7 linked regions of the Xenopus tropicalis genome follow. The protein of the gene in region 1 interacts with the protein of each later gene in a biochemical or structural test. Links are inferred from orthologs where the notes say so. Each region holds a gene or a part of one and is shown on either strand. Other genes may lie near its edges. The genes, in order: snta1, slc2a3, mcm7, gucy1a2, slc16a7, scn5a and wwtr1.

Evidence for each region.
Region 2: the proteins of snta1 (region 1) and slc2a3 interact in a test that uses a peptide from one of them, tested with the Homo sapiens proteins (2 studies listed by BioGRID and IntAct). The link is inferred for Xenopus tropicalis from reciprocal best matches to the Homo sapiens genes SNTA1 and SLC2A3.
Region 3: the proteins of snta1 (region 1) and mcm7 interact in a test that uses a peptide from one of them, tested with the Homo sapiens proteins (2 studies listed by BioGRID and IntAct). The link is inferred for Xenopus tropicalis from reciprocal best matches to the Homo sapiens genes SNTA1 and MCM7.
Region 4: the proteins of snta1 (region 1) and gucy1a2 interact in a test that uses a peptide from one of them, tested with the Homo sapiens proteins (3 studies listed by BioGRID and IntAct, with this or other methods). The link is inferred for Xenopus tropicalis from reciprocal best matches to the Homo sapiens genes SNTA1 and GUCY1A2.
Region 5: the proteins of snta1 (region 1) and slc16a7 interact in a test that uses a peptide from one of them, tested with the Homo sapiens proteins (3 studies listed by BioGRID and IntAct, with this or other methods). The link is inferred for Xenopus tropicalis from reciprocal best matches to the Homo sapiens genes SNTA1 and SLC16A7.
Region 6: the proteins of snta1 (region 1) and scn5a interact in a test that uses a peptide from one of them, tested with the Homo sapiens proteins (2 studies listed by BioGRID and IntAct). The link is inferred for Xenopus tropicalis from reciprocal best matches to the Homo sapiens genes SNTA1 and SCN5A.
Region 7: the proteins of snta1 (region 1) and wwtr1 interact in a test that uses a peptide from one of them, tested with the Homo sapiens proteins (2 studies listed by IntAct, with this or other methods). The link is inferred for Xenopus tropicalis from reciprocal best matches to the Homo sapiens genes SNTA1 and WWTR1.

The regions. Positions count from the first base shown.
Region 1 is NC_030686.2:41,872,652-41,876,151, forward strand, and holds part of snta1 (alpha-1-syntrophin), read left to right. Parts: intron 1-2,033; coding exon 2,034-2,219; intron 2,220-3,500. UniProt on the Homo sapiens protein: Adapter protein that binds to and probably organizes the subcellular localization of a variety of membrane proteins. May link various receptors to the actin cytoskeleton and the extracellular matrix via the dystrophin glycoprotein complex.
Region 2 is NC_030683.2:9,034,582-9,038,791, forward strand, and holds the start of slc2a3 (solute carrier family 2, facilitated glucose transporter member 3), read right to left. Parts: upstream 2,801-4,210; 5' UTR 2,747-2,800; coding exon 2,711-2,746; intron 2,580-2,710; coding exon 2,481-2,579; intron 2,312-2,480; coding exon 2,151-2,311; intron 1,287-2,150; coding exon 1,046-1,286; intron 917-1,045; coding exon 754-916; intron 559-753; coding exon 371-558; intron 1-370. UniProt on the Homo sapiens protein: Facilitative glucose transporter. Can also mediate the uptake of various other monosaccharides across the cell membrane. Mediates the uptake of glucose, 2-deoxyglucose, galactose, mannose, xylose and fucose, and probably also dehydroascorbate.
Region 3 is NC_030679.2:144,214,356-144,217,855, forward strand, and holds part of mcm7 (DNA replication licensing factor mcm7), read left to right. Parts: intron 1-89; coding exon 90-254; intron 255-1,687; coding exon 1,688-1,812; intron 1,813-1,897; coding exon 1,898-2,078; intron 2,079-2,168; coding exon 2,169-2,306; intron 2,307-2,812; coding exon 2,813-2,962; intron 2,963-3,328; coding exon 3,329-3,443; intron 3,444-3,500. UniProt on the Homo sapiens protein: Acts as a component of the MCM2-7 complex (MCM complex) which is the replicative helicase essential for 'once per cell cycle' DNA replication initiation and elongation in eukaryotic cells.
Region 4 is NC_030678.2:160,343,831-160,347,957, forward strand, and holds the start of gucy1a2 (guanylate cyclase soluble subunit alpha-2), read left to right. Parts: upstream 1-1,327; 5' UTR 1,328-1,512; coding exon 1,513-1,749; intron 1,750-4,127. UniProt on the Homo sapiens protein: Has guanylyl cyclase on binding to the beta-1 subunit. Isoform 2 acts as a negative regulator of guanylyl cyclase activity as it forms non-functional heterodimers with the beta subunits.
Region 5 is NC_030679.2:63,069,974-63,073,966, reverse strand, and holds the start of slc16a7 (monocarboxylate transporter 2), read left to right. Parts: upstream 1-1,193; 5' UTR 1,194-1,204; coding exon 1,205-1,418; intron 1,419-3,993. UniProt on the Homo sapiens protein: Proton-coupled monocarboxylate symporter. Catalyzes the rapid transport across the plasma membrane of monocarboxylates such as L-lactate, pyruvate and ketone bodies, acetoacetate, beta-hydroxybutyrate and acetate.
Region 6 is NC_030682.2:13,453,950-13,457,920, forward strand, and holds the start of scn5a (sodium channel protein type 5 subunit alpha), read left to right. Parts: upstream 1-1,171; 5' UTR 1,172-1,951; intron 1,952-1,958; exon of another isoform or gene 1,959-2,285; intron 2,286-3,971. UniProt on the Homo sapiens protein: Pore-forming subunit of Nav1.5, a voltage-gated sodium (Nav) channel that directly mediates the depolarizing phase of action potentials in excitable membranes.
Region 7 is NC_030681.2:122,384,473-122,387,972, forward strand, and holds part of wwtr1 (WW domain-containing transcription regulator protein 1), read right to left. Parts: intron 2,404-3,500; coding exon 2,204-2,403; intron 1-2,203. UniProt on the Homo sapiens protein: Transcriptional coactivator which acts as a downstream regulatory target in the Hippo signaling pathway that plays a pivotal role in organ size control and tumor suppression by restricting proliferation and promoting apoptosis.

The sequences.
Region 1 (3,500 bases):
ATCTCCCTCTCTCTTATTGGCTGAGGAATGTCCCATGCTGTTATATTGGTTTGTTTGGGAGGGGGGACACTGCCGGGACTGCCTTTCCTCCCTGCCCCCCAACACCTACTCTCCCTGCAGCACAAAGGAGCGTGGGAAATTTAAGGGACATGATATAGTGTATATTCATGTACCAGAATATTATAGGAATCTTGCATTTTGGAACTTCTTAAGACTTTTAAAGGGGAAGTTAAGCTTGAAATTAATTTTGTTCTGGTTTTATTGCATTGGCATTATAGGCAAAGTCTGAACGCTGAATGTTTTTGTTGGAAAAATGGAGGGTCCGGACTCCGTTTGTGGCGGGCTGCTCACTCAGCCTTACTCTGTCACATAACTGCTAATCCTAAAATAGCAGCGGCTTGCATGTCAGATTTAGCTGAAGCCTGTTGCTGTCTTTCTAAAGGGTCAGCCGCTTGTAGGAAATGATCAAGGACTCACAGTATCCTGGGGCAGAGAGTTGCAGGAAAAATGTATTGGCCTGTGAATGGTGAATGAAAACCTGCCCAACCAATATCTGCCTGCAGATCAGCTGGTTAAAAAATCAGGTGATGACTGCATTGGCATATTGATACCGTTCTCTCCCAGCAGGTCCCCTGAGGCGCTATTTAGGGTCACATTGTTGGGATGGTGGCCAAATCAGGCACAGATCTACTGGTTTGCATAGCAAGCTTTAGGTCCAAACTTTTCTAACGGCAGTGACATGTTTATGGGCTCAGTCCCCCCTAGGCCCAAAGTGTACTAATAGCAGTGCCATGTTTATGGGCTCAGCCCCCCCTAGGCCCAAAGTGTACTAATGGCAGTGCCATGTTTATGGGCTCAGTCCCCCCTAGGCCCAAAGTGTACTAATTGCAGTGTCATGTTTATGGGCTCAGTCCCCCCTAGGCCCAAAGTGTACTAATGGCAGTGCCATGTTTATGGGCTCAGTCCCCCCTAGGCCCAAAGTGTACTAATGGCAGTGCCATGTTTATGGGCTCAGTCCCCCCTAGGCCCAAAGTGTACTAATGGCAGTGCCATGTTTATGGGCTCAGTCCCCCCTAGGCCCAAAGTGTACTAATGGCAGTGCCATGTTTATGGGCTCAGTCCCCCCTAGGCCCAAAGTGTACTAATGGCAGTGACATGTTTATGGGCTCAGTCCCCCCTAGGCCCAAAGTGTACTAATGGCAGTGCCATGTTTATGGGCTCGGTCCCCCCTAGGCCCAAAGTGTACTAATGGCAGTGCCATGTTTATGGGCTCAGTCCCCCCTAGGCCCAAAGTGTACTAATGGCAGTGCCATGTTTATGGGCTCAGTCCCCCCTAGGCCCAAAGTGTACTAATGGCAGTGCCATGTTTATGGGCTCAGTCCCCCCTAGGCCCAAAGTGTACTAATGGCAGTGCCATGTTTATGGGCTCAGTCCCCCCTAGGCCCAAAGTGTACTAATGGCAGTGCCATGTTTATGGGCTCAGTTCCTGTATAGATATTCCCCTGTACTAAGCACAATTCAGCATTAAAACAAATAAGGGTACAGTAGCCCTTTAAGACCATTTACGCTTTAGGCTAGAGTATTACAGAGAAAATAAATTCTTTGGCAAAGGTTGAACTGGGCTGCTATTTCCCTGGAGTTTGTGGAGTCATCTGAAAATGTCTGTTTCTTACATTTTAGAAATGCAGAATTAGAAACAGATGAAAGTGTGACTGGAAAAGGAATATTATTTTTTGCAGATGCTTCTATACATGTAAATGAAAACTCAATCAGAACTTCAGTATGTAACATTAGCCAACATGCAACTGGCATAAAGTACAGGCTGCTTTGTGCCCCATTGCATTGCACTCTCCATAGAGTATGGCCCAAGGAGTAGCCATTGCCTGTATACACGCCTTACGTGTATTGGGGTGCAACGTGTCACTGCCATACCATTTATCTAGGATTGGATGATTTTTTTCCTCTAGTTTAAGTTATGTATTGAAGGAACAGTTCCATACCAATAGATTAATCGACATCTTTTTGTTTACAAGGTGGCCGGGAGAACAAGATGCCCATCCTCATCTCCAAGATTTTCAAAGGCCTGGCTGCTGACTTGACAGGGTCATTATATGTGGGGGATGCAATCCTGTCTGTTAATGGGGTAGACCTGTCAGAGGCTACTCATGATGATGCTGTGCAGGCTCTGAAGAAGACTGGAAAGGAGGTGGTGCTGGAAGGTGAGTAATAAAGGGAGGTTTATATGGAGCAATATGAGGAGTTATAGGGAGGGGTATATGGAGCAATAGGAGGAGTTATAGGGAGGGGTATATGGAGCAATAGGAGGAGTTATAGGGAGGTTTATATGGAGCAATATGAGGAGGTATAGGGAGGGGTATATGGAGCAATAGGAGGAGTTATAGGGAGGGGTATATGGAGCAATAGGAGGAGTTATAGGGAGGGGTATATGGAGCAATAGGAGGAGTTATAGGGAGGGTTATATAGAGCAATATGAGGAGGTATAGGGAGGGGTATATGGAGCAATAGGAGGAGTTATAGGGAGGGGTATATGGAGCAATAAGAGGAGTTATAGGGAGGGGTATATGGAGCAATAGGAGGAGTTATAGGGAGGGGTATATGGAGCAGTAGAAGGAATTATAGGGAGGGGTATATGGAGCAATAGGAGGAGTTATAGGGAGGGGTATATTGAGCAATAGGAGGAGTTATAGGGAGGGGTATATGGAGCAATAGGAGGAGTTATAGGGAGGGGTATATGGAGCAATAGGAGGAGTTATAGGGAGGGGTATATGGAGTAATAGGAGGAGTTATAGGTACAGACTGGGCTTCCAGTCGAATCTATATGAAGTGGGTATAATTAGCACTGTGAGACAGAGTTATAAGAACGGCTGTGCCAGTTACAGAATAACATTTGGGTTAGTTACTAGTTATTGGGTGCCAGTGTATAGATAAACATACTGCTTCAGTTTAACTCTTCCCCATTTCTTCTGTTGAACAAGAATTTTTTCCTGCTTTTCATGGTTCCCGCACAGCTGTTGAGGGGACTGTGCACATTCCAGGGAATCTGGGAGGGGAACGTGGGAGGCATCACTGCAAGGGGAGCAGAGACACGGAGTGAAAGTGCTTATTTTGTACTTACACCGGCCAATTTCCAATCTGACACTGTGGGATCCATTTACTAATAACCGATGTAAACCCATTATGAGTTTTGGTTGAAGGTTAAGCCACATCTAGAGAGGAAATAATAAATCAGGGGTGTTGGAGGGTCCTGTACCTGTTGGAAAATAACAGCTGGGTGGTCACAGGCTAGACAACAGGTGTAGGGCTACAAGCTAAACCCCCTTTTATGTATCTAGTACAATAATAAAACATTATTGCTTTAGAGTTTAAACATTTTATGAATACCTGCTCAATCCTACTTTAATGTTATAGACCTGAAATGCAGAAAGAAATGACCAAACCTGCTCAGCATTAATGGCTGCTCACTTGGGCAAAAATCTAAC
Region 2 (4,210 bases), on another chromosome or scaffold:
TTTTATAGCCTTTAGTGTTCAAACTCGTACAGGTTGGACACCCCTGAGGGGAGACCCATTTGTAGTTGCACCCATAGGAACATAACCTAGGTAGGTGAAACCTGATCATGGGAAAGAGCAGCCCCAGAAGCTGAAAGTACAGCGAATGAGAGATCAGTACCGGGGTGAGTACTTGGAGAAGACTGGATTCACTTACCCAGGGGTAATGGACCCAGGTTACTTTATCAGTTATTTTGCAGTCTAATAACAATTATAGTTACAATTACAGTAGAAGGGTAAGAAGGAAGAGAGAATTGGAATGCAGAGAGGGCATCTAACAAAGGATACTTGGGGTATAATAGAATGTTCATAGGGGTTTATAGTTACGTACAGCATTGATCCCAGACAGTTGCTGAGAAAGTTGGAGGATGATGGCGATTGTTATTGGCTGCCGGTACTGGCTGGAGCGGAAGATTTCTAGGATAGACACTGATTTTTCTGCTGCCGTCCTAGCACTCTCATCCTTCATCTCTTGGACATCACTGGCCACGTCTGTAGTGCCACGCAGTTTCCGAAGAACTAGCCGAAGAAATGCATCATGTGACTTTACAGCAATGCACAATGGGAGGGGGTAAAACTGTTATTCCATCTTTTCTTACGTTTGGTATTAGTCTCCCTACTCTCCTTGCTTTCCTACGTGTTCCTTGAAGCCCAGGCTCAAAGTCAGACAGAGCAAGATTTGGGGGTGTATGTTGAGTGTATCCCCATACTTACTCCTCTCAGCTTTTTCATCTTCTTTCTTAACAATGAGCAGGTATCGAGGGCTTTCTGGACAGAAGGGTAGAAGCACGCATTGGATGATGGACAGGAAAACGGTGAGGCCTAACAGCAGAGGCCAAAGGGTCTCAGATCCAAGGATAAACTCTAGGCCAAAAATCTAGAGAATGGCAAAGATATAAGCAAAAAATCCAAATTTAAATGATAGATATAAAGCTTCTTAATGAGTTAATTTAGCCTTTAATCCACAAAAGAACAACATTCTCCATCCCCAAAGCCGTATACTAACCTGTGCCACCAAAATCCCCACCACGATGCCCAGCTGATTCAGGGTTCCCAGAGCTCCACGAAGAGAGGTGGGCGCCAGTTCCCCAATATACATTGGTACCAGGCCAGTACAGAGCCCACAGAAGATCCCAATAATGAAACGTCCAATGATGAGCATCTCTGGGGACCAGGCCAGTTTTGAGAAACCCATGAAAACCCCTCCGACTATGGCAGCCACATTCACAAGCAGCATGGCATTTCTCCTAAGAGATAGGTTAATAATGCACATAGGATTAATACATACAGAATCCATTTTAGGTGTCCCACATCTCTAAACAGAAAGTAAGGCCTCAAGGTCAGGCAAATGGGCGTTTGATGGGTTAAGGGACACAGATTAGACAACACTGATGTAAATTATTAAATAAAACTTACAAGTTTGCATAAGGCCTTGTAACCCTTGGCAACCTTTCATACAGTTGACCAGCAAAGACTACCTGCCAGTTGGTTCCTGAGGATTACCAGACCTGATGCAACGCATGCCCCAGGTCTAGTAACCCATATTATACTAAAAGTTTTCATATTATGCCTTTCTGTTGCCATTTTGTCCTTCTAACGCCATCTACCCTCCGTGTCTCCTCCTTCCCCAAGAGTTGCCATGTTGCCTAATATGCTTGTTATCCCTGTCTCTTCCAACAAGGGAGCTGAGTAGCTGACATATTAATAGACTCAGTGTGTATAGCCGTGCCCTTATGTCTAAATAACGGCCCAAGGGAATGCCACATTACCATAAAGTGCTAAAGCCACCATCTTACCCTTCTTTCGCCATCTTTCCCTGCTGTCACAATATCCCCTATTATGCCTGCTATCTGTCACTCTTCCAACTGCTGCTCTATAGGGAGCTTACATATTAGTAGGTGCAGTGTACAAGACCACCACATAATTGCGTGGACATTATTATATTTTTTTACTAAGCAAATTCCTGAAGAAAGCTCATGATCTGCCCAACCTTGGCACCTATGGCTCTATTAACACAAGTCCAAGGCAAGGCAACCTCTTTGTCCATGTACTTTTTCACCCAAGAGGCCCCTCTGAAGCTGGTGGCCCATGTCAAATGAAAGCCATCTTACCTTCCGAAACGGTTTGCAAAGAAGCCCACTGAGAGGGAGCCCACCATCCCCCCAACAGAGAAGATGGCCACGGATAAAGACCACAGGGATGTGAGGAGACTTTCCGAGATTTCCTTCCCATAGCGGTGCTCGTATGTGCCATTATAAAATGACTTGATGATCTGAAAAGACCAGACATTCAGTAAATGTAATGACCCCCAGAGTTGGAATAACTGGCTCCTCCACTCTTATTGTTTCTCCCGAGCACCACACACCAACACTAATTACACTTTTAATTTGCCAAATAAGTGTCTTCATGAGGAATTTTTACTATTAAACTTGAATTCTCACCTTCTCAGGCGCATTGATCACCCCGGTGTTGTATCCAAACTGCAGGGAGCCAATGGCTGCCACACAAACAGCAAAGACCAGCGAGCAAGTTATTCTGCCCTGAAATGAGAGAGAGTACAGGAACAGCGCCATTAGGGGGATGTGAGGAGTACTGCATTGCTAATTATACACCTAATTCCCAAGGTACCAAATATTATATCGACTAAACACAAAGCTCTTATCTTCTGCACCTCCTGTTCCTGGGCTGCTTTCTTTCCCATGGCCATTGATTAGATGGGCAGGGTCGGACTGGGCGACTGATATCCAACAATTGCCAAGGCTTCAATCTACAAGGCATAATATCTAAATACTAAATATCTAAAATACTAAAATTTACAATTAGTATAGATATTGGTATATACAGTATATATAGATATATATGCAAGTGTATAGTTCAACCCAACTTAACTATGTAACGATATTTAACTTAATGTATGTTCACTCCATGAATACAAAAAATAATCTTGTACTTATTGTACAGCGCTGCAGAATATGTTGGCGCTTTATAAATAAATGTTAATAATAATAATATAACAAAAAAATATCATTTTGCGGCTACTTTTACATTATTTTTGTGCTCCCGGTATTTATTTTATGTGAATATAGAATTCTTAACAACACTGAAAATTATTCTTCAGTGGAAAAACATCATTTTGTGGCTATAAAAGTTTTGTGTTCACAGAATTCATAAGTTTCCAATAAGTGTATGTCAAAGTAAAAAGATATTACGGGAATTCCACAAAATCACAATAGAGCACAACAGTGACTAAAAACTACCCCAACCCTTTGGGTTTTGGAGCCTATGAATCATTTTGTGACTGAATAGGCAAAACATTTGATAGAAGAGGGAAGGCCGTGCGTGTAAGGCTGAACGTATCTCCATCTGTGCTCAGTGACTCAGGGAGAGAATACTGGCGCGGCCTCATCATGGGGAGCAGCACGGGGAGAGGGGCCGGCAGGGTAACCCCATGGGCACCGGCAATATTATCACTAACATTTACTGACTGCTTGGGGTTATATTTGTTACCAGGTAAACAGACAGCGCACCAGGGAAGGCTATCCATAGTGACCAGAGCCATGTGGCATAGATACAGGTATGGGATCTGTTATCTGGAAACCTGGTATCCAGAAAGCTCAGAATGACAGAAAGGCCATCTCCCATAATCAATCTGTAATAATAAAACAGTACCTGTACTTGATCCCAACTAAAATATAATTACCCCTTATTGGGGCAGAACAGCCCTATTGGGTTTATTTAATGGTTAAATGATTCCCTTTTCTCTGTAATAATAAAACAGTACCTGTACTTGATCCCAACTAAGATATAATTACCCCTTATTGGGGCAGAACAGCCCTATTGGGTTTATTTAATGGTTAAATGATTCCCTTTTCTCTGTAATAATAAAACAGTACCTGTACTTGATCCCAACTAAGATATAATTACCCCTTATTGGGGCAGAACAGCCCTATTGGGTTTATTTAATGGTTAAATGATTCCCTTTTCTCTGTAATAATAAAACAGTACCTGTACTTGATCCCAACTAAGATATAATTACCCCTTATTGGGGGCAGAACAGCCCTATTGGGTTTATTTCATGGTTAAATGATTCCCTTTTCTCTGTAATAATAAAACAGTACCTGTATTTGATCCCAACTAAGATATAATTACCCCTTATTGGGGGCAGAACAGC
Region 3 (3,500 bases), on another chromosome or scaffold:
AAATGTTGTGTATATAAGAATCTGTTAACTGTACAAAAGTCCTACAGAAAAGAATATAACCTGTACCTGACTAATCCCTATATTATCAGGCTAATATTGCTCACAGAGAGCAGGTTGCGCTGTACATCGATCTGGATGACCTGGCCGAGGAGGACCCCGAGTTAGTGGATGCAATCTGTGAAAACACAAGGAGGTACACAAACCTGTTTGCTGATGCCGTTCAGGAGCTGCTGCCCCAGTATAAAGAGCGAGAGGTGAGTTGTTCTGCCCCCAATAAGGGGTAATTATATCTTAGTTGGGATCAAGTACAGGTACTGTTTTATTATTACAGAGAAAAGGGAATCATTTAACCATGAAATAAACCCAATAGGGCTGTTCTGCCCCCAATAAGGGGTAATTATATCTTAGTTGGGATCAAGTACAGGTACTGTTTTATTATTACAGAGAAAAGGGAATCATTTAACCATTAAATAAACCCAATAGGGCTGTTCTGCCCCAATAAGGGGTAATTATATCTTAGTTGGGATCAAGTACAGGTACTGTTTTATTATTACAGAGAAAAGGGAATCATTTAACCATGAAATAAACCCAATAGGGCTGTTCTGCCCCCAATAAGGGGTAATTATATCTTAGTTGGGATCAAGTACAGGTACTGTTTTATTATTACAGAGAAAAGGGAATCATTTAACCATGAAATAAACCCAATAGGGCTGTTCTGCCCCCAATAGGGGGTAATTATATCTTAGTTGGGATCAAGTACAGGTACTGTTTTATTATTACAGAGAAAGGAAATCCTTTTTAAAATGTAAATGATTTGATTAAAATGGAGTCTATGGGAGATGGCCTTTCTGCAATTCTAACTTTCTGAATAATGGGTTTTCAGCTAAGGGGTCCGTTACCTGTACATTTGCTTTGGCTTTCTACTAGATACTATATTTCTATAGGATGTGAAGCCTGGCCAGAGTAAATAATCCACACCAATGGGATGGTGTATTTAGCCACAGACTTCACATAGTGAGGCATACAAACTACAATACAAGAAGTAACAATATGATACTGTATAACTGTAAATACTCTGATGCATTCATCTGTTAAAGGTAACATTATCCATCAACAAAGTCCTTATTTCAAATATGGAAGTCCCTATTTCTCTGCCTTCTCAGGGGGACACAGGGAACGTATGGGGGTTAAGCTCCACCCTCCAGGAGGCAGGACACTTGATTAACAAATTAAAGGGGCGTGCCCGTTGCCAGATTTACCCCTCCGCTGTACCCAATCCAATCAGTTTTTCAAGTGTCCTGCTGCCAGGAGGATGGACAGCTAGGTCCCAAGTGAGACCTAATATGAACACTTCGATCAGGGCCTATTGGGTAATGCCGGCAGCTAGCACGCCCCTTTAATTTGTTAATCAAGTGTCCTGCCTCTTGGAGGGTGGCGCTTAACCCCGTACGTTCCCTGTGTCCCCCCCTATCGACGGATTTAACAGTGAGTAACAAAAATCCTATTATATAAAGCTTTGTTCTTATTGCTCAGTTTATCAGAAACAGAAATGGAAGCCCATTCATAACTTTGTAGTCTTTCATGGGAAATCCATCCTGGTCCTAATACAGTAGTTGCAATGTGAATTAAATGCATCATTTCTGTTTTAGGGAAGAATAATCTCGGCTACTATTCTTTCCTGCTGTAGGTGGTACATAAAGATGCTTTGGATGTGTATATTGAGCACCGCTTAATGATGGAGCAGAGAGGCCGAGACCCCAGTGAGACCCGTGATCCTCACAACCAGTACCCCCCAGAGCTTATGCGCAGATTGTAAGTACCATTCACTGGCCCAGTTGGTGGTTGGTTTTAATGACATTAATAATAATCTAAAACCGCGTCCCTGTGTTCTATGCAGCGAACTGTACTTCAAAGCTCCGAGCAGCTCAAAAGCCCGCGTGGTGCGAGATGTCAAAGCCGATTCCATCGGCAAGTTGGTTACAGTTCGGGGCATAGTCACGAGGGTCACAGAAGTCAAGCCTATGATGGTGGTGGCAACGTACACATGTGACCAGTGTGGTGCCGAGACCTACCAACCGGTGAGTGTCGCTAATTTATAATTTCACTTGTAGAATTCCATTGTTTCCAACAGAGTTTGTTGATTCTCACCGGTTTGATTTTTCTTACAGATTCAATCTCCAACTTTTATGCCGCTTATAATGTGTCCCAGCAGGGAGTGTCAGACAAACCGCTCTGGGGGCAGGCTCTACTTGCAGACCCGGGGCTCTAAATTTATTAAGTTCCAAGAGCTGAAGATTCAAGAACATGTGAGTAGCTGAAATTTAAAGCAATACTGACATGGGATGGGGATAAACCCATCAGTTAATAGAGCTTCTCCAGCAGAATCCTGCATTGTAATCTGTTTTTCCCATGGGGCTAGCCATATCCTTCATTTCCCTGGGTGGCACGGTCACGTGACCTGTGCTTTGATAAACTTCACTCACACTTTACTGCTGCGCTGCAAGTTGGAGTGATATCCCCCCCCCCCTCACCCCCAGCAACCGATCAGCAGAACAATGGGAAGGGAGCAAGATAGCAGCTCCCAGTAGGTATCAGAATAGCACTCAATAGTAAGAAATCCAAGTCCGGCTTGGGACTCCTCCAGTTACATGGGAGTAGGAGAAACAATAGGTTAGCTGAAAGCAGTTCTAATGTGTAGCGCTGGCTGAAAGCTCAGACTCAGGCACACTTTACTGCTGCGCTGCAAGTTGGAGTGATGAGAGTAAATGTATACAATGCAGATATTAAGTCTTCCAACCCTCTCTCTCAATAGAGTGATCAAGTTCCAGTTGGGAACATCCCTCGCTGTATGTCTGTGTATGTACGTGGGGAGAACACGCGGCTCGCTCAGCCCGGGGACCATGTCAGTATCACTGGAGTCTTCCTGCCGATGCTAAGAACTGGCTTCCGTCAGGTGGTACAGGTAATAAACAATTTACAGTTATTACAATTCATCATTCTAGCTCAGCAGCTTCCTTATATTGCTGTGAGGTGGGATTACCCTTTAGCGGGTTTTATGTACAGGTTTCTGTGTGAGTAAATGTAAACAAGAACAGCAATTCCTATATAATATTCCTATTTTATGATCAATTTTGTACTGTGGGGAGTGCCCGGCCGCGGCTACCTAAGCATTTGTTTGAAGGACAAGTCAACCCAGAATATATTTTTTTGCCTTATAAAAAAAACTTAATTCTAAGCAATATACATTCCTTACAAACTTGTAATGGTTTTTGAGTTATAACTGTATAATTTTGGGGTTCACTGGTGATTTGTGTGGTTTTTCCTACAGGGGCTCCTTTCAGAGACGTACCTCGAATCTCACCGTTTGGTGAAAATGAACAAGACCGAGGATGATGAACTCGGAACAGAAGAGCTGAGTGAAGAGGAGCTGCGACAGATTACTGGTAAGCAGATGAGGAGTCCCTGTATGGAAGAACTGACTTCTCTAGGTTATAGACTAT
Region 4 (4,127 bases), on another chromosome or scaffold:
AGACATGTCGGTGTATATGAGGGATGAAGAGATAGACATGTCGGTGTATATGAGGGATGATGAGAGAGACATGTCAGTGTATATGAGGGATGAAGAGAGAGACATGTCGGTGTATATGAGGGATGAAGAGACAGACATGTCGGTGTATATGAGGGATGAAGAGAGAGACATGTCGGTGTATATGAGGGATGAAGAGAGAGACATGTCGGTGTATATGAGGGATGAAGAGACAGACATGTCGGTGTATATGAGGGATGAAGAGACAGACATGTCGGTGTATATGAGGGATGAAGAGAGAGACATGTCGGTGTATATGAGGGATGAAGAGAGAGACATGTGGGTGTATATGAGGGATGAAGAGAGAGACATGTCGGTGTATATGAGGGATGAAGAGAGAGACATGTGGGTGTGTATATGAGGGATGATGATACTGACCTGTCACAGAATGTGTGGTGAAGGACATGGAAGCTAAAAGTCAGCTAGTTTATAACAGGGGATGATGGGATAAACATGTTATTGTACTTGAGGGGAAATATCAGGAAGCTGGGATAATCTGTCAGTATATAATAGAGGATGATGGGATAAACATGTCGGTGTATATGAGGGATGATGGGATAGACATGTTAATGTATATGTGGGATGGTGTGACAGACATATCACAGTATAAATGAGGGATTATGGGATAGACACGTTACTGTATATGAGAGATAATGGCATACAAATGTCAGTGTTTATATGGGAATGCTGGGACAGAGAGGCTAGGGCATATGGAAGATGGTGGTAAAGACCTGGACATATGTTTTGCATGCAACGTGTGGAGATGGGGCATAAGGAGCATACCACTGTGTGAGAGAGGGGGGGCTGGGAAAGGAAAGGCACTAGAGCTGATGCTCACTGTGTATATGTAAGGCTGCCAGTGTATGGCTGAGGGGGAAGAGTTGCGCCTGTGTATATAACAGGACATATGCATGGCCTATGTGCCCCTTTGCATTCTCACAGTAATTATATCTCCCAGCTGCAATCCATCAGCCGCTTCTCTCCGGCCGGAGCAAAGGAAGCGCAGTGTCCCCCCTCCCTCACGCTAACTCCTGGGAAAGTGCGTCCCGCTTTGCCAATGGGTTTGGGTGACAGGCAGGAGAGCCCCCGGCAGGAACACGTGATGCACTGAGCAGCGGAGAGATACGCAGCCGGGAAGGCACAGACAGGGAGGATGAGAGAGGGAAGCGCAGCCTCTTTTAAAAGACAGAGGGAAAGGGAAGAGGCGCCACACAGCACGGTGCTGCCCAGAGAGTCACTGCCGCTGCTGCACACACACAGGGGAGAGAGACAAAAGGAAGGGCTGCTGCTGAGGGGGGGGATCCCAGGCACAGTGCGTGTATATAAATGAGAAGGTGGAACCCTGACAGGAGACTGAGAGGCTCACTTCCCCGGCATGAGCAGTGTTGCTAGAGCCTGACGGAGCCGCACAGCCCTGCATCTCATGCGGTTCCTTTACCCAGCAGCCTCAGCAGCATGTCCAGGAGGAAGATCTCATCGGAATCGTTCAGCTCGCTGGGGTCGGACTACCTTGAGACCAGCCCGGAGGAGGATGCTGAATGCCCTTTAGCCCGGCTGTGCTGGAATGGCAGCAGGAGCCCACCTCAAGAGCAGCACCCTCAGCCGGTCATTGGACCCAAGAGGGCAACCAGGAGGAGACGGGTCAATCTGGACTCTCTGGGGGAGAGTATCCGGAAACTGACCTCCCCTACGGTAAAGCCTCATTCACTTGCCCGGGGACCGGGGGTGGGTGGGGGGGAGCTTCCATCTCTCCTGGTATCCAGGCACCCAGGCAGGAGATTCCTTTGCACCCCCACTGGGGACAGGGCAGCCTTCCCCTGCTGCAACCAATGGCATTGGGCTACCCTGGCCCTGGGGCATATGCTCATTACTGCCCTGGCCCTGGGGCATATGCTCATTACTGCCCTGGCCCTGGGGCATATGCTCATTACTGCCCTGGCCCTGGGGCAAATGCTCATTACTACCCTGGCCCTGGGGCATATGCTCATTACTGCCCTGGCCCTGGGGCATATGCTGATTACTGCCCTGGCCCTGGGGCATATGCTCATTACTGCCCTGGCTCTGGGGCATATGCTCATTACTGCCCTAGCTCTGGGGCATATGCCCATTACTGCCCTGGCTCTGGGGCATATGCTCATTACTGCCCTGGCCCTGGGGCATATGCTCCTTACTGCCCTGGCACTGGGGCATATGCTCCTTACTGCCCTGGCCCTGGGGCATATGCTCCTTACTGCCCTGGCACTGGGGCATATGCTCATTACTGCCCTGGCCCTGGGGCATATGCTCATTACTGCCCTGGCCCTGGGGCATATGCTCATTACTGCCCTGGCACCCACTGGCATTTACCTAGAGCTCTTACACTTTGCTGTGAGTAGGCGGGTATGGCTATTGTACCCCCAGCTGGGGTTGAATTAAAGTTCCCAGCATCCTTATTGGGTTAGGGGTCTGTGTGTGTGTGGTGGCTATGGGCATTCATATAGAGATCCATTCAGCATTAACCAGTATAATTAATTAAAGGGAGTTTATATATATATACTAGAAATTTTAAATATGTAATAACACTAGATAGGTAACTAAGTAGTGTACCTGTAATTCCCAATAAACATCAGTAAGGTGTATGTACATATATATATTAGGATACGGACAGGAATGCTATTCACATATGAATGCCAGCATTATTGCCTCCATTGATTGCAGTTAACGCTCTGCATAGCACATTAAATGATGTCTGTATTGGTAGCAGGCATGTCTCTGGGTTTAACCTCACCAGTGCTGGAGAGAAGAAGCTTTGTGCTGCAGTTGGCAGTTTATGGCAGATGCTCTAGGTTGCTAAGGGGTTAAATGCCAAGGCTGTAGATGATATCACAATGGGCGATGGGGAGAGTTAGGCACATCTGCACAGGGTGCGTGGGCAAAATGCAGAGCGAGGAGAGATACACGGAGGCGCTTGGCTAAGGAGTTCTGTTAAAGGCTCTTATTGGCATAAGAACATAAGAAGTAAAATCCCAAATGTTAACAAAGTTAAATGGGGGCCCTGGGAATTGCAAAAGGCTGGGGTTCCCTACCTAAGGGCAAATAGAGATATATATTCTACATACACTTTTTTCTCGCAAATGTGTCTGACTAGATCGTTTTATTACATTTAAAGGGAAGTGCTGCAGGGATCTATTCAAACCCTATCTGTCCTGCCCTGTACGTGCTTCCTGGTTTGTGAGAGGTGGTGTGGTCAGCTTACCCAAATGGCCCCTGTGATTCTGGGGCCCCCATGCTAAAAGGCACAGGCAACACTACATTACTGAGAGTTTGTGCACAATGTGTGTAATGTGCAAATGGCAAGGGATTGGGTATGCTGTTAGCACTGTAATGAAACCAAATGGCAAGGGAACATGCCTGTGTGCCTGAGATACTACCAGACCGAGCAGTAGGTTCATTCTGAGCTCCATCCTCACGTGAATGTGGCACCAGAATGAAACAGGGAAATGAGAATTTGGTGGGGGATCTGTAAATGGCAGTGAGGTGTTGGGGTGAGAATGAGGCCATGTATTGCCATTCCCCTCTGGCTTCATAGACAAGGAACATGTTAAGTGATGCTGAAAGAAATAATTGAAACAGAGAGTTTAGCTCATTCCTAAATCCTTGACAATTCGGCCTTTGCAGCAGTCGGGCAAGAGGGAAATGCCGTAGCCTTCTATGTTACATAACAGCCAGTATAGCCCCTGTTATCAGTTGCTTTAGGATGTGCAAACCCAGTATCCAGAATGTTAAAACATGGCAATGCCGTTCACTGCTTAACGTTTAAACATTTATTCATTTTTCCCTAATTTTCTGTTCTTCTCTAATAATAAAACATTGCCTTTTATGCCAATATACAACAATACCTGAAAAAGAACTCTAGCCCTTAAGCAGTTTACAGACCAAAGCCTACAAGCCAAGTCTGGCCTCAGGTTGCCTATAAGTAACCAGATTTTTTCCCTCTTGGCAAGGGCTCATTAAGAAGACTAATTATAAAATAAACAAGTTTGCCAGTGTAACAGTTAAGGTGTATGTGCGGTTTTGTGTAGCAGCCATTT
Region 5 (3,993 bases), on another chromosome or scaffold:
GGTTCCCAACCTTCCTAATGCTGTGACACTTTAATACAGTTCCTCATGTTGTGGTGACCCCCAACCATAAAGGAGCATTGTCTCAGTTCCCAAGACCATTGGAAATATATGTTTTCTGATGGTCTTAGTCGACTCCTGTGAAAGGGTCGTTCGACACCAAAAGGGGTCCCAAACCACAGGTTGAGATCTGCTGCTCTAGCTGTTAGTCCCCACTCAGTTTATTGGTCTTAGATGGATTGTCTAAGTGTGGGTGGGGAAGAGGCGTAGGCAACCTTTCTGTCTTTGGTGAGGTTCCCATTGGTCTCAGGATATCATATGACTTCTAACAGTATATTAGGTAGGATAGGTAAATGCCAGAAGCCTGGAGTAAGGAAGGCCCCAGTGAAGTGGGAGATGGGGGAAGAGGGACCCTGTGACTAGCCAGTGGTAGGTTAGATCCTACATAGGGTCATTTTAGGAGCAAAAGATAGAACTATTTAGTAAGAGGTAAGACAGGATAAGGTCAAAACAAAGTGCAGGATCAAGGAAACTAAGCCAAAATAGGTAACAGGGCTATGAGCAGTAACAAGGACTACAAACAAAGTCACAGCTAGAAACATGATCAGAATCAGGATTCAAGTATTGAAGGATCTCGGGGAACAAGACATATCACAAGCAAGGACAAAGTGCAGGACTGGGCTTTATTAAGGCACACACAGAGGGAGATGTCATACAACAAACAGCACCAGCTGGTTAATGCAGTGTAGCTGAGCGTAATTAGCAAAACTAGAAACATAGACTGAAGTGACAAGTCTCAAGTACAATTAACTGAACAAGATACAGCCTGACTCTTTAGCCCAGAGCAAAAAAGCAAAAGGTTCAAATCCACCTATGGATAGTTCCCAGGACCAGATTACAGGGTGCATGTTATTGCAGTCATAAAACCACTTGCCATCTAGTTGAAAATCACCTAGACAGGGTTTGGATTACTTTTATAATAATCCTACTGTCCTAATTTCTTCATGATTACTTTTACATTACTATCAAATTACCTCAGTGCAAATATTTATATCATCTAGGGCAGTGTTGTTTTTATATATGTTTGTCCTCATTATGAACGTCTCTGAACTCTTTCCCCGTTTATTTTATGACGATGAAACTTAATAAGAGTACTGTTTCATTTATTTATATATATATTTTCTCTTTTACAGAAAGTTTTTGAAAAATGCCCGACATACCAGTGACTCTACAGTACACTCCCCCAGATGGAGGCTGGGGATGGGTTGTGGTCTTTGGGTCATTTATTTCAATTGGATTTTCTTATGCATTTCCTAAAGCCATTACAGTATTCTTCAAGGAAATCCAAGAGATATTCAATACCTCATATAGTGAAATTGCTTGGATATCATCAATTATGTTGGCTGTCATGTATGCAGGAGGTAAGGAATTTTAAGTTATTCAATTATGGTGTTTTCAAGCTATTCACCTTTGTAAAATATATAAGTTAATTATATTTTATTTGTATCATTGAGAAATATATCATTTAAAAATATAATCATATTTAAGACAGAAAAACAAACAAACTGGGCACATTTACACATGCAAAAAAATATAATCACTAACAGGTTTCTGTATATTGGAGCCCATACTTGTACATAAATCAAGATATCTACTTGGAATCTTCAAAACATTTCACACTGAAAAATGACATTGTATAAGGACCAGTTCTAAGCAACATACTATTCTGCTTCTTTCCAGCTTGCAAATGAAAATGCTATCTGTTAGTCATTTTCACTGACCCCTAGCAAGCATTTAGTTTAAATTCCAAGCCTGAAAGCTGCAAATATATATACAACTTTTTAATTAAAGAAAACATGGAGTTTAAGAAATAAAGACTATTCACAAACATAATTCTGCTGAAAACATCATACAAAATCTTAATTTAATTTACAAAATCTTAATCTAAATGTAAACAGCCCCTTTGATATTGGCATAATATATGTATATAATAACTGTTGTTTCCTTTTAGTTTTGCAACCTTTTTTGTGCTAAAGGTCAATACTCTAGGTGAAACTGTTCTTTTCTTTCAATGTAATAATAAATATACTGATCATTTGACAGCACATGTGCTCTACATATTAAATATATGTTGTACTGACATAATTTTAAAATTAAAGAGGAACTGAAAAAAAGCCTAGTTCAGTGCTGGTGCTATGCTGCACTGCAGCTCCAAAAAACACTTTCTCTGCATGCAGGAATTACACACTGCCATGTTAATGCCTATATTTTCTGTTCACAGAGACTCATCATAATTTGCCCATATTGAAAAAACAAAAATACTACTGTCTACTTTTCCTTCTGTCTTGCGTGTTGCCTGTTCCCTGTTTTGTAGGGTTGAGTCCTATCTATCCTAATTTCCATATTAATGATGTTCCAGCTAGTAAAAACCAGAAGATAGTAATTTATATTTTGTGCACTTTACTGCTAGTAGCAGTGTCCTTTGCAAGTAAGCCGAGTCTTTGTAGTACAACGGCAACTTTTTTTTATTTTTTAAGACATATCCTCTAGACTTCTCGAATACATTTATATTCGAGAAGTCATATATAGAATATCATGTCAGGGGTGTTTTGGCCGCTAGTGCTGCCCCTCCGCACAGGGCCACCATCATGGGGGGACAGTTCTCCCAGGTCCAGTAAGTTATTGGTCTTAAGGGAATGCTGGCCATACTTTACTCCTTTATCCCGGTTCGGGCCACCAGTACTATCAGTGAGCTGCAGACTCAGAATGGGAGGGTGAAGTTGGGGCCCCTGCATTTTCTTTGCCCTACACAGCTCTCTATACTGCTCATTTTTTCCGCAGTAATTAAGTCCCGGCGGAGCTGCATGGGGATTGGATAGGCATGGGAAAAAGTTCAGCTTCCAGTCCCATGTGGCTCTACTAGGACTTAAGCAGTGGAGATTGGAGAATAGAATGGCACAGGGGGGATGCTGGGGAACATTGGAAAAATTGACATGGGATCAGGGCCAGATTTGATAGCCCGGCGCCCTGAGGCCGCCCCCTTTCTCTAATTTTGATGCATCAGCTGCAATTGTGAGTGCAACAATGCCGGAACTCATGGAAGAATTGCTACATCATGGAAATAATATGGCAATTGTGCCAGTAAATTTACCCCTGAAAAGAATGGCATTGACAGCATGAGCATCACATATCAACCATCAATAATGTCACTGATTGGGCCCTGGGCTGTGTCATTTACAGGCTTATGTGTATACATTTTAGGGTTCAATTATTTATTTTTTAAACCAATAGAGCCCCTGGCCACCAATGGTTTTTGTATTTGTAACCATTAGGATCCTTGCAGGGCCCATATAATTTTGTTGTAATGGTGGCCCTGCCTCCATATTTAGGTTTTTTGCATCAAAGAGGGCTGAGGGAGAGCCACATTGCTAGCGCAGAAAGCAGAAAAAAAAATGAAATTTCAGCTCTTGAAGTTACCAGGAGCGGCTTTTTGCCACCTCTTCAGCCTAAGGACAGTTACGTGTCCCTGCTTAATGTTCTTAATATATTGATATGAGACAGGGCAGAGGATTTATTATCTCTTTTTCTCACTTGAAATTTCTTACTGCAATTTTCTCTGGCACAAAGATGTCTGCTGAATGATATTACTAACACCATTCAAAAATGCATGCTGGTTTGAATATATCTTGCCAGAGTTGTTTAGGAGTGAAAATGCCAGTGTCAAAAGACAACAAAAAAAAATCTGTGACTTGTTTTATCTGCTTGTTTTAGTTCAATCTAAGAAGCATTCTGCCAGGAACAGGGGCCAATTGCCCTTTTTGAGGGTTTAGTTGGCACCAGGGAGAGAGCCAAAGTTGAGCACATGCAGGACAGGTGCCTGACAATCGGGAACAAGAGACTTTGTAAACAGACATACAAATGGCTGGTAAAAGTTTAAGGTACTTCACACAAGGGATAGTAGAGTCCAGATCAGAATTACCAGAAGCAGGATGAAAA
Region 6 (3,971 bases), on another chromosome or scaffold:
GGCTGTGGGATAGCAGGTATAGTAGGGAGAGATGGCGCCTATAGTAGCAGTGGGGGGATGATAGCCTCTGGGAAGGGACTGGGGCTGTGGGATAGCAGGTATAGTAGGGAGATATGGTGCCTATAGTAGCAGTGGGGGGATAATAGCCTCTGGGAAGGGACTGGGGCTGTGGGATAGCAGGTATAGTAGGGAGAGATGGTGCCTATAGTAGCAGTGGGGGGATAATAGCCTCTGGGAAGGGACTGGGGCTGTGGGATAGCAGGTATAGTAGGGAGAGATGGTGCCTATAGTAGCAGTGGGGGGATAATAGCCTCTGGGAAGGGACTGGGGCTGTGGGATAGCAGGTATAGTAGGGAGAGATGGTGCCTATAGTAGCAGTGGGGGGATAATTTACCTTTCTATAAAGTTTTAGTAGATTGGCCTATTCAATCCTTATTATTTTTTTTTATATTGGATGAGGTTTCATTATTGACCTTCTATGTCTGCCTCATTTCTACCTGCAATTAAAAAATTATCCCAGCAAGAACGAATAAACAAACAAACAAATAAATAAATGAATAATGCTAATCTTTATATTCAGGCCCTCGGCTATTCTTCCTAGTTGCTGAGCAGTTGAGCCCTAGCAACGAGATTGCTGTTAGAATTCCAAGCGTCACAGCTGCACAAGAAAAAATGTAAATATAAAAAAACTACAAAATAAGAGATAGAATCACCTCTACCTCTTATTAAGCTTATACTACCCCTTTAGGGGGTTAAATAATGGAATAATAGATGAGGGCACATTATTTTAGATTTGGAGTTTAAATTCTAACATCTCTCGTAAAACCTAATACATAAAGAGACATTCACCTAAAATTAACCCTGACTGTGCTGTAATGATTTATTTTTGTTTCTAGGGAGATTTATAAAACTCTTGCTGTTTAGTCATGATAATCGTCTGGTTCCTTAAGGCAAATGATGGCAAAATCACTGCACATTGATTATAAAAAGAGTTAATCGGATTGAAAGAGCACGAAATCTGCGCAGCGCTGGATTCCATTCCGAGCGTATTCAGCCTGCCGCTAGGTGGCGCTAACGATCCAGCGTTTGTACGTGCACAGTTGCTTATGGGAGGTTCGTATAAGGGAGTGACTGGCTGGGGAATATTGCAGCCACATCCCTTTCAGTGGAGAGTGCTCCCTGTTGTGCTTATTATGAAGACAACATGCTAGAGATCGCACCTGCCCCAGGCTTTGCATTGGCAGGTGGAAGCAATTCTCTTTGTATTTCTCTGGAGCCCACAGTAAGGTGCAGCTAGATCAGCTCCCACAGTGCCAGAAAGGGAATCTCAGCTGGAGCAAATACTTTGCAAGACTCTTGCTTTTCCATGAAACTTTCAGCTTCTTGGATGCTAACTTTGGAGCTGCCTCTGCGTTACTACCTGACCACAGGAGAGGAGAAACCAGCTGGACCAGCCTGCCTGGGAGTTTCACTGTGATTTTAATAATGATTTTATGGCTTTTCCCCAGAAAGGATTAGACTTCCAGTTTGGGACCAGCTATTAACATTTCATTTGCCTTTTTAATCTGAATTTGCATTCAGCAAACCCTATTGCGCAGAACAGGAGGGCTCTTTGCTCCTTGGTGGATCTCAGCCTACTTTGGCTAAGTGTGCAGTTGTGGTGGAGCAGCTGGGTGGGAAGGTGGAGGTGGCTTGGCTGGGTTTTAGGGCTTGCACAGTCATGAATCTCTTGGCCACATTCCTGTCCTGACACTATCACAGGACCCCGAGGCTTGGAGGGAACATGGAATTCCAAGAGAACTGAAGAGGGTTTGACTTGGTCCTCCCAGTGAGTGCTGGGGGCAGCTGCTTGCCTGGTTGACTGAGGAGTGGTTTTACCTTGAGACCAGTTGTGAACTGCTAGTCAGACTGGACACATCCCAGAGCCTCAATCTCAGCAAACCCTCTGCAGGTAATTAAACGCTTCACCCTTGCCTACAACTTCACCCCCTTGGAATACCTAAACTTGCCCCCCTTTTATTTTCCTTCTTGCTTTTTTCTTTTTTTCAATATTCACTACTCCTATTCAGCTTTGGCAAAATTCAGCAGCTGGAGGTGGGGGGGTTTGGCGTATTCCCCACTTCTTGTGCCTCCCACAAATAACAACGGGAGCTGAGTTTTTAATTGGACTGAGATTTAGGGGGGGGGGGGAGAGCAGAACCATCGGTGGAGTTTAATCCCCCTGAATTTAACCGCAGTTCTGGGGACCTGGGAGTCATAACTGTTGCGGACAGCTCTCCAGCGCTGTAAGTATCCCCCAGACTTGGCATGTGTCTAACCCTGTGTGCTGGGAACGCGCTGCATGGCTTCGCCTCCTGAATCAAATTCATTTATTTACCTTCTAGCTGAGTGTGTGTGCCAGACATCTGCTTCCTATTGTACATTTAGTAACCAGATACCCAGACTTGCGCCCACAACTCTCAGCCCTTATTGCCCCGTCTACTGAATTCAACCGGGGGTGCGAGCAACAAATTTCTTCATTTGGGTTTAAACCCTTTGTTTGGATTCAGTATTTGATTTATTGTAAATTTTTATTTTAGTTTGGAAATCTTGGCATGCTGAAAATGGCTACGGCTAGATTGGCTTTTACAGCTTTGTAATGGGGTACTGTATATACTGTATGTATATTATATTCACACACACATTTATACAGGGAAAAGTTGCGCACACTGCATTGCACATATGTGTGCTTTTGTATGTATAATATAATATATATTGATATATTTACATCAATTTACTACTAATTTACTATACATTTGGGAAAAAAATTATTTTTTCTTAAACAACAGTACGGTTGACTGCTTAGGGCCCTGCCAATAATGGGGCCCCACGGAGCAGCAGCTGTAGGTAGGAGTGTGTGTTGGCGGTGGACAGCAGGTATAGTTGGGCAAGATGAAGACAGAAGGGCAACATGGCGGGCATAATACTTTCTATTACTGTTTCCCAGCCTTCAAGCGCTCAGTTGTGGAAGAAGTTGTAGTTTAACAACAGCTAAGGAGGCTGCAGGTTGCCCTACATTCTATATAAATAACAGGTTGCAGAAAGTCTTTTTTACCCAGGGCCCTGCTGCTGCTACTAAAGACATCACGGGAGATTGATAAGATTAAGGCTGATTGCTGAGTACCATTTAGGACTAGAGAAACCTGTTCAGACGGGGAGTGACGGGTCTGCGGGGCGTTAGAACTAAGAGTATCGCAGCCGCCTTATCTGATAAATACAGTAAATCCAGTACAGTGGGGGGGATTGGGGTATATTAATACAGTTGAAAGACTGGGGTAAATCAAATTTGGAGGACTCGGGTAAATTTTGTACAGTTTGACAATTTTGGCTAGCCAAGTAAAGTTGGAGGACTGGGGTTAATCCAGGACATTTGGAGTTTGGGGTATATCAACTACAGTTGGAGGACTGGGATAATTTGATACAGTTGGGGGACTGGGGTAAATCCAGAACAGCTGGACAATTTGGGTAAACCAAGTACATTTGTAGGGCTGGGGTAAAATAGTACAGTTGAAGGAGGAGGGTGAATCCAGAGTTACAGCATTAGGGTAAATCTAGTACATTTATAGGACTTTTGTAAATCCAGTAGTTAAAGTGTTGGGGTAAATCCAGTACCATGGGGAAGAATTGGGGTAAAATAGTACAGTTAGAGGAGTGGGGTAAATTAGTACAGTTAGAGAATTGGGGTAAAATAGTACAGTTAGAGGAGTGTGGTAAATTAGTACAGTTAGAGAATTGGGGTAAAATAGTACAGTTAGAGGAGTGTGGTAAATTAGTACAGTTAGAGAATCGGGGTAAAATAGTACAGTTAGAGAATCGGGGTAAAATAGTACAGTTAGAGAATCGGGGTAAAATAGTACAGTTAGAGAATCGGGGTAAAATAGTACAGTTAGAGAATTGGGGTAAAATAGTACAGTTAGAGAATTGGGGTAAAT
Region 7 (3,500 bases), on another chromosome or scaffold:
ACAGTAGCCAAACTGATGGCTGGGACAACCAATCAGATTAGAGATCAGGATCTGTAGTAGATTTGCTATTGCCTACCTATCATTATTTTCCTTTCCTTATTTAGCACTGATATATATAATCATTCAAATCAGTTCCTGCCCCAGTCTTGCCATGATCAGGAGTCAATGATCTTGTTGGTATAATATGAAAATCCACCTAGAAATAAGACAAATACAAACTACTTTGTACATAAATAGTATTTGCTAAAATGTAATTGGCTGCCAGAGGTTCCCCCAGTTTCACCTTGTAAGATGTAAACCCCAATAGGAAACCTCCCTGAAACTGATATTCTCTCTCTGCTGGGTGTGTCTGTTGCAAACCAAGCAGCTGTCAGGTCTGGAATTGCTGGATTGCCACTTAGTGACTGCTGTCAGGTTAAAAGTGGAGTTAGGAGACCTGCCAAAAAAATTCCACACCCTTTCACCCAAGCCCTTCAATCTTGTTCCTGTTGCTCAGCAACGACAAGCAGCATTAAGTCAGCATTTTCTTCTCTGTCCAGGTCGCATTAAAGGAAACAATAGAGGGTTGAAAGATTAGCGGAGGAACTGCATAGTTCTTGCAGTCAATACATCACGGGGGGTGGACTGTCTGCTCTACTCTTTGGATCAGTCATTTCTAGCTGTGGGCCTCCAGCTATTGCTGAACTACAACTCAGAGCCAATACAACAGTATTGCAGCAGTATTGCAGAAGAAAACCACTGGTGTGGATGCAGTATTATAAATGTATTTTAAGGAGAACCTAAACCCTTTATTGTAAAAGAAGCACAATGTCCATAATAAATGTCTCCATTGCTACAGCAAATTGTTTGTGTGGTAAGAGCTGCCCTTGACATGGATTAAGCAGCTTTCAGATTCCATTACTGACCAACATATTCCAATAGCCCAACAACTCTTTTAAAACAAAGGTTTGGTTCACTGAAATCTCTATTAAGCACAACTGCAATGACATCCAAAGAACAGTTTCATCACACTATTACACTCGAGAATGGACATAAAAGAACTCATTGCTGGTCTGAGCCAGCCAACTGCCATTTTGATGACATCTTAACATGCATGACATCAGAATGCACCCATTCCATTTAAGACAGCATGCCTTCCTTTGTGATCAGGCATATTAGCACTACAATGTCCCCCAAACTCCCAGCATTTTACTTTCAGCCCAGCACCCAAAGACAATGAAAATAAAAAGCAAAACAAAAGCCCACTGCCTAGAAAATAATATGCCCATATGCTTGGCACAAAGAAAGGAATGTCTGGGGCATGTGCTATGTGTAGAAATATCCAACTGTTTTATTAACAATTATTCCCATGAATAATCTCTGAATTTGAGTGTATAACAGGCAGGGACCTAAAAATAGGACAAGCCCTCTCTGTGATTTATGGGGGGCAAATAGACTGAGGCTACAGCTTTTAAAGGAACAGTTCAGTGTAAAAATAGAATGAGCAAAATTTCTAATATAGTTAGACAAAAATGTAATCTTTAAAGGCTGGAGTGGGCAGTTGTCTAACCTAATGGCCAGAACTTTACTTCCTGCTTTCAGCTCTCTAAGCTGTTAGCAGTCAGTAGCCAATCACTGACTTGAGGGGGGGCATATGGGACATAACTGTTCAGTTAGTCTGTATTTGAATCTGACCTGCATGCTCACAAACTAACTGAGCAGTTATGTACCATGTGCCCCCCCCCCCTAAAGTCACTGACTAACTAAGAGGTTAGAAAGCTGAAAGCAGGAAGTAGAATTCTGGCTGTTTTGTTAGACACCTGCCCACTCCAGCCTTTATACATTACATTTTTGCCTAAATAATAACTAACTATATTGCAAACATCTTTTATTTTGCGCAATCTATCCATTTACCAGTTTCATTTTTACACTGAACTGTTCCTTTAAGGACATACCAGCCTGAACCATCATACTATGGTATCAAGACATTTGCTAAATACAGCCATCCTTGCACGGTACATACACAATAGTAATAAAAAGCACTAAAGATATGAATACCCTTCCCCTTCCAAAATCATCAAAGTCCCTAACCCTAAAACATTCAGCAACTGACTGGTGTAGCAAGAGAGACCCTGGCCAATGTTCCAAGGATCTTCTTGTCCAGTGGTTTAAGGCACAAGTACCTATAACTATTACACAACCATGGTTGTTTATTGATAATTACCTGTCTCAGCAGCTCCTCCTGACGCATCCGGATTCTCTCTCTCTCCATCTGGATCCGTTGAAGCCGAAGTTTCTGTTGCTGCTGTTGCTGGGTGGTAAGAGCATTGGGCAAATTGATTAGCGCTGCTTGAGGATTCTGGGTCGGATGGTTCTGTTGAGGTATGGCAGGGCTGGAAGTTATTTGTTGGGGATGGTTCATCACTGTAAATAAACAGAAAAGCAGGATTGCAGTGAAAGCATGCACCTAAAGCATCACGGCAAACTCTATTAATGATTTGCTTGAACCACCAATATATATTGATGGCATGCTAGAATGTACGGGGATATATATTTATGGCCAAGGCTGGGCCTGCAGGTTTGCCTCTCATTGTCGGAAAGAAAATCAGGTTATTCTAGCAAACCATGGGCCCCGCTTTATCAATCACAGTCCATAAAGATGTATTTGCAAAGCAAAAAGGTCCATCATTTCGTCTGAATAAAATCAATTTAAGAAAAGCTCATTCCAGACAAGAAACAAAACTAAAAAAAACATGAAAACAGAATTTCACACAGGCTGATGAGCACAGACCTTTGGATTACATTTTAAAAATAACCCTATCTTACAAATATACTAATTAACAAACTGTCATGGTAGAGTTACATTGTAGTTAAGGCAACAAGGAAGTATTATGCACATACTTGTCCCTAGGCCACCCACTTTGGAAGCCTACTGCCTGATCCTTGGCTAATCCCAGCCATATATTTCTGAGCAGTTTAAATTTGAAAATGCTGAAACATCACCTATGGGAGTGCCCTAGATATGTAAGCTACAGTGTTAAATAAAAGTAACCTTCCCCTTTGTAATTGGCATTAGGTGTAAAAAAGAAGAAATTAACTTCTATTTCACTACAAGGTTATAAAGGTATACATTTCCCTTACAACAATGAATGCAGCATTTTGAACATATTTTTCTTGGAAAAGTTACAGTGATCATTGTCATTGGGGCACTCCCCACTAAATACAACAAACAGAAAGCATCACGCATAGCCATTGGCCCATGATTACTACTTCAAAATATGGAAATGAGCATTATCACATCCCATAAGCTCCCAATGGCTATTCCCTCTGTGGCCAATCATAGCAAATACTGATTGCCTCTGATGGCCTCTATATTTCTCTTGACTAGGAATCTACAGTTGCAAGAAAAAGTATGTGAACCCTTTGGAATTATATGGATTTCTGCAGAAATTGGTCATAAAATGTGATCTGATCTTCATGTAAGTCACAACAATAGACAATCACAGTCTGCTTAAACTAAT